Linked DNA regions of Macaca fascicularis. The protein of the gene in region 1 purifies or fractionates together with the protein of each later gene. This does not show direct contact. Links are inferred from orthologs where the notes say so. Each region holds a gene or a part of one and is shown on either strand. Other genes may lie near its edges.

Region 1 (3,751 bases):
ACTCCTTACATATACTTTTGTATATCTCTGCTTCTCTCTTCCCACCCTCCCACCACATTAATTTTGAGCAGTATACTTTAATACTCTAGGTATGATTACCCCAAAGAATCAAGTTAACATACCACCTCCCACATTCTAGGCACTATATAATGGTTATATATTAATTCGTATAACCATGTTTTGCTGGAATTATCTAGGGGATGCAGAAGGGGCTTTATAATTAGCAATGCCCCTTACTTTGACTTGCCCATGGAACCCCTCAAAGCATACTTATCATTAGTAAAAAATTAGACCATCCACAGCATGGTCTTTAGAGACAGAACTGGGCTGGGTCTGCCCCTGAGTAGTTGTGTGATTTTTAAAGTCATCACTTGATCTTCCAGCCTCATGCGATCCCACTGACTATGACATAATCTCAGTGGTGCCCTTTGCTGCAAAGGAGGCTGAGAAGAGCTGTCTTGATTTGGGGCTGCCATATGTCAAACTAACAACCAGGAATCTGTTCGTAGAAAAGATAGGATCTGGGGGAATAAATAACAATCTGTAGCCGTGGTGGCTCCATGCCCTCCTGACAAGGTTCTTCGTGGTCTTTTTAGGCCAGCATATCTTCGTGAATTTCCACCTCCCAGATCTTGCTGTGGGTATCATCTTGCTCATAATCTCCCTGCTGGTCCTCTGTGGTTGCCTGATCATGATTGTCAAGATCCTGGGCTCTGTGCTCAAGGGGCAGGTCGCCACTGTCATCAAGAAGACCATCAACACTGGTAGGTGCACTGCCCTCACTTGTGGGCCTTGAGGGATGGTGTCATCATGGCCACTGCATGAGGTGTGAGGGTGCTTTAGATTCCCATCTAGCAATGGCCTCTGCATGGAGTTTCTCTCTCAGATTGGATCAGCAGCAGAAGTGAGGATGTCATTCATGTGGAAAAGTTCTTGGTGTCCTGGGTGGGGTCTAGGGAGCAGGCCCAAGCTTCCATTGCATGTTGGCAAGGTCCTGAGAAGGAGTTCCTATCTGGAGAACTGTGAATCAGGCCTTCCTTCCTAGTGGATTTCCTGTATGCTCAGGGCTTTACTGGCTCTGTCAAGACCCCTTAGAAAAAGGACCCCAGGTGTCCACCCACACCCCCACCTCCCTTCACTCTTGTGAAGGAAATGTGACGTGTAAATACATCAGCATCTAGAGGTGGCCAATGAGACTGCTGGCCAAGAGGATTTCCTGCCAAGTAGGGTGTCCTGGCCAATGAGAGCTCACTAAGCCAATGACATCATCACTCCATGACAACTCAGTTAAATGTAGCCAAGAAAATTCACCCCCCACCCCAGGTTGTCTTGGGGGAACAGAGCAACTCTGAGTGCTTGTGGGAAATGCAGGGCCTGATCTGGTGCTGGTTGGGTGGAGGACTCAGTTAGTAGGCATGTTCCAAGCTGCTGTGTTTTCCTGATGCTCCTTAAGGCGGACATGAAGGTTGAAGGTTGAATGTGGGTGCTAATGGGAGGCCAGGGCAGGGGAGGAAGCATGCTCTCAGCCCTTTCTGGAAGGAGAGTGGTTACTTGGGTGGGTTCACTCTTTCTAACCTGACCTCCAGGGAGTCTGTGTTTTTGTTTCCATAACACTTACCTGCATCCTTGGTTTTTCCATCTGAATATGTGGAGCAAAAGACAATGGGGAATGAAACTGGATTCTAAAACTCAACTCTGTAATCTGAGACCATATATAGGATGAGGAGGTGCCTGTACAACCTTACCTGTAAGCCCAGCCCCTGCCCTAGGCCATCAGCCCATTCCTTCTCCAGAGAGGCCATGACATATCTTCCTTCTGTCTTCCAGATTTCCCCTTTCCGTTTGCGTGGTTGACTGGCTACCTGGCCATCCTCGTCGGGGCAGGCATGACCTTCATCGTGCAGAGCAGCTCTGTGTTCACGTCGGCCTTGACTCCCCTGATTGGTGAGTTATTCCTGAGCTTCTCGCTCTGGCCACCACTGCCATTTCCTGTCATCCCATGGGGCTGATGTGTTTGTGTTTGTATCCCCCCCAAGGAATCGGAGTGATAACCATTGAGAGGGCTTATCCACTCACGCTGGGCTCCAACATCGGCACCACCACCACCGCCATCCTGGCCGCCTTAGCCAGCCCTGGCAATACATTGAGGAGTTCACTCCAGGTGAGGACTCGGGGCCCCGGGGCAGGGGCCCTGGGGGTGGGACCACACATGGTCTTGCAAACTGGTCTCTAACAAGAGCCAGGCTTTTTCTCTGTGCTGTCCAAAAGATGGAACTGATATGTGGAGGGGAAGCCACAGGTAAAGTTTTCAGGACCTTGATATGAGAACAATCAAAACTATCAGTTCTGAGACAGGCAGTAAGACTCCCATAACTGGTGGTGGTTTCAGCAGAAGTGGGGTGGCCCCTTGATATAGATGTAGAAAGGGTACTTAAGAAGCACAGCCACCACCTCCCATCTCCTCACTGCCTCCTGTGGGGAACTTTACAATTAGGAGAACTCCTTGGCGTGGACCATCTAGGTTACTTTGTGCAAGACCTTTGGGATTTGAATTTATTTGTTTTATTTTATTTTATTTTATTTTATTTTATTTTATTTTATTTTATTTTTTTGAGACAGTCTCGCACTATTTCCCAGGCTGGAGTGCAGTGGCGTGATCTCCACTCACTGCAACCTCCGCCTCCCGGATTCAAGTGATTCTCCTGCCTCAGCCTCCCGAGTAGCTGCGATTACAGGCACCTGCCACCACGCCTGACTGATTTTTTTGTATTTTTAGTAGAGACGGGGCTTCACTACGTTGGCCAGGCTGGTCTTGAACTCCGGACCTCATGATGCACTTGCCTTGGCCTCCCAAAGTGCTGGGATAACAGGCGTGAGCCACTGCGCCCAGCCTGAGATTTGAATTCTTATCTCACCATTTACATCCCAAATGACCTTTGGCAAGTGATCTAACCTGAGTGTCAATTCCCTCATGTGAAAGATGGAGGATATAACCCCTATCTCATTAGGATTACTATAAAGATCTGATGAGGGAAAGCAATCTATGCAACAGAAATAGAAATTCAAGCATATAATATAAATTAACCACATATGTCATCCTAAAAGATTTTAGCAGATACATTTTTAAAAGTAGAAACAGGCAGATTCATTCTTCAATAATGTGCTTGATTTAAACCATTATCACTTTAACATGTAATCAGTCTGTCAAAAATTGAGATATTTGACATTGTTCTTTTCTGGGACTAAGTCTTTGAAATCTAGTGTGTATTTCATACTTAAAGCAAATCTCAGTGTGGACATGCGGCTAGTGTATTGGACAGTGCTGGTTCATAGCCTGGGCATGGTACTTTGCACCTTGGCAGCCTTGGAAAAGTGACTAAGCGCCTGGCCTCTGGAGCCAGGCTCCCAGGATGTGAATTTCCACCTCTTCCATCTCCCACCTGTGGGAGTTGAGGAGCCTCCATTATCTCATGTCAAGAAATAATGATTGACACTCTGTAGAGTGTTTTTTGAGGATTGAGCTAATGCACAGTTGAGTGCTCCTGGCCCTCCCAGACATGTAGTAGGTCCTCATGGAAACCAGGTACCCTCTGGGCTGAACCGCAAAGACAAGGAAGGCCTGGAAGGCCCGAGACTGTGCTACCTGTGATGCCTGCTAGCTTACCTCCCCCGTCCCCTCCTCCCTACTGCCACCCCCATTAGGCAACAGGCCCTCACCTGTCCAACCTCTTGTGTTGCAGATCGCCCTGTG
Region 2 (2,731 bases), on another chromosome or scaffold:
GTCTCAAACTCCTGACCTCAGGTGATCCACCTGCTTCAGCCTCCTGAAGTGCTAGGATTACAAGCATGAGCCACCGCACCTGGCCCCAGACTACAACAGATTTTAAAAAGAACATTACGATGGTGGGTGTGTGTGTGAGTGAAGGGGTGTTACTGTAGAGCAGGGTGGGGTAAACACAGGTAATAGACTAGGAAACAGCCTATCTGAAAGATGCTTTGAAACACCAGGATTTTGATATATTAGAATGAAGTGTGCATGTGCCAGAGAACCAAGTCCTTCCAAACTCAAGCATTTGAAGTAATAGACCAGTGGGGACTTCTCCAGAGTCTGGGCAGGATGATTCTAGTGCTGCCTCTGTGCTGTAAGCAGGGATACATCTCACCACTTGTTTTCTTCTTTCAGATCGATGACCCCAACAGCAATCTTGAGGAGGCGATTAATGAGGCAGAGGCCATCACCTCTGTGAACAGCCTGGGAAGCAAGCAAGCCTTGAATACAGATTACCTTGATTCTGATTACCAAAGAGGACAGCTATACCCGTTCTCCCTTAGCAGTGATCTCCAGGTGGCCACATTTACTCTCACAAATTCAGCCCCAATGACTCAGTCCTTCCAGGAACGGTGGTACGTGAATCTCCACAGCCTAATGGACCGGGCTCTGACCCCACAGTGTGGCAGTGGGGAAGACCTATATATCCTCACAGGCACAGTGCCCTCAGACTACAGAGTTAAAGACAAAGTGGCAGTCCCTGAGTTTGTTTGGCTGGCGGCCTGTTGTGCTGTCCCTGGAGGTGGCTGGGCCATGGGCTTTGTCAAGCACACCCGGGACAGTGACATCATAGAAGATGTGATGGTAAAAGATCTTCAGAAACTGCTTCCATTTAACCCTCAGCTGTTTCAGAACAACTGTGGTGAGACTGAGCAAGACACAGAGAAAATGAAAAAAATCCTGGAAGTGGTTAACCAAGTCCAGGATGAAGAACGAATGGTGCAATCTCAAAAGACTTCTAGTCCCCCCTCTAGCACCAGGAGCAAGAAGTCTGCTCCGTTGCCTCCAGAGGCATCTGAGGGAAGTAGTAGCTTTTTGGGAAAACTCATGGGCTTCATTGCTACCCCATTCATCAAGCTTTTTCAATTAATTTATTACCTTGTGGTAGCAATCCTGAAGAACATTGTCTATCTCCTGTGGTGTGTTACCAAGCAGGTGATTAATGGCATAGAAAGTTGTCTTTACCGCCTGGGGTCAGCCACCATCTCATACTTCGTGGCCATTGGGGAAGAGTTGGTGAGCATTCCCTGGAAGGTGCTGAAGGTTGTGGCCAAAGTCATCAGGGCTATTCTCCGGATCCTTTGTTGTCTGCTGAAGGCCATTTGCCGAGTTCTGAGCATCCCTATCCGTGTCCTTGTGGATGTGGCCACTTTCCCTGTGTATACCATGGGCGCTATTCCAATTGTATGCAAGGACATTGCACTGGGCCTTGGTGGCACTGTCTCACTGCTCTTTGACACTGCTTTTGGTACCCTGGGTGGCCTATTTCAGGTTGTTTTTAGTGTCTGCAAGCGGATTGGCTACAAGGTTACTTTTGACAATTCTGGGGAGTTATAAACTCAAAAAACTAATAGTATCCAGTCACCGTGAATTTGAAAGCTGGAATATTTTGTCTTTACAATGGGTTTCTGTTCACTGTCAGTTATCATTATATTTTGGCCTTTGGTGGGGATGTCTGCTTGTTTTTGCAAAAGAAGATGGCAGAATTTAGACTTGACAGAGGAGAAATGCTCAGGGTGAGATTAGGTGTAGTAATCTGCTGTTTACCTCCAGTTATGTGTGCAAACTCCCAAGCCACTAATAACTTCAGTTATGCACTCTGACATAGATGACCACCTGAAACGCACTGGTATTTATTTCTGATGATTAAAAATTACAAGAGAGGGAAGAATTAGAAAAAGAACAACTTTAAACCAAAAGTGTCTGAGAAAAGGACAAAGGGAGCTTGTTCTTCCCATTGCTTTTTGTGATTTAAGGCAAAACAGATAAAAAAAAATTCTGCAGCCAATTTCTCAGCATTTGCTTATCTTTCTCCCCAATTTAACTGACCTTGGTGGAATGCAGATAATGCCTCTCTGTTGAAATGACCTTGTGGGGATGTAGAATTTTCTGTATCTCTTAGCTTTTCTTGGCTCTCGAGGATATGTACAGTTTTCATTTTCTCCAAAGTTGAATTTTGCTACATTTTTCTTTTAGGTGATTATAAGCACTTTTAAAAAAATCATTTTTAGGTAATGGTAAGCATTTTATGCCGAACGTGGCGTAACAGAGTTTGAATTGAAGGGCAAAGGGTTTTTTTTTTTTTTGCACCTTGAATAGTATAATACAGTCCTCTCAGATGAAAAGAAGAGAAGAGAAGGTGGACAGCCCTGCTGTTAGTAGGTGCTGCAGATCCAAGGACATCTTTTGCCCAGCTTGGATTAACTTGACGTGTCTCCCTGCCTGACAAGGTTGAACTGAAAGATCCATATGTTAAGCTAACATGAAAATTCATATTCTGCAACATACTAGATTTTTCTAATGCATTGAGTAAGTACCTAGTACAGTAAAAATACTCTGACTTATGTCCCTAAATGGTTGTTTTGGTACAACTATATAGAAAAGAGCCACAAAATAAAGATAAAAATTATTCTGGCCATCTCTGAAAAAAATATATAAAATATTTAAGAATAATTATATCTTA

Evidence for each region.
Region 2: the proteins of SLC34A2 (region 1) and ENDOD1 purify together in Homo sapiens (co-immunoprecipitation; 3 studies listed by BioGRID and IntAct, counting the BioPlex papers as one, with this or other methods). This does not show direct contact. The link is inferred for Macaca fascicularis from reciprocal best matches to the Homo sapiens genes SLC34A2 and ENDOD1.

Annotation. Positions count from the first base shown.
Region 1 is NC_088379.1:24,799,166-24,802,916, forward strand, and holds part of SLC34A2 (sodium-dependent phosphate transport protein 2B), read left to right. Parts: intron 1-596; coding exon 597-764; intron 765-1,827; coding exon 1,828-1,944; intron 1,945-2,036; coding exon 2,037-2,161; intron 2,162-3,740; coding exon 3,741-3,751. UniProt on the Homo sapiens protein: Involved in actively transporting phosphate into cells via Na(+) cotransport.
Region 2 is NC_088388.1:94,141,176-94,143,906, forward strand, and holds part of ENDOD1 (endonuclease domain-containing 1 protein), read left to right. Parts: intron 1-402; coding exon 403-1,605; 3' UTR 1,606-2,731. UniProt on the Homo sapiens protein: May act as a DNase and a RNase. Plays a role in the modulation of innate immune signaling through the cGAS-STING pathway by interacting with RNF26.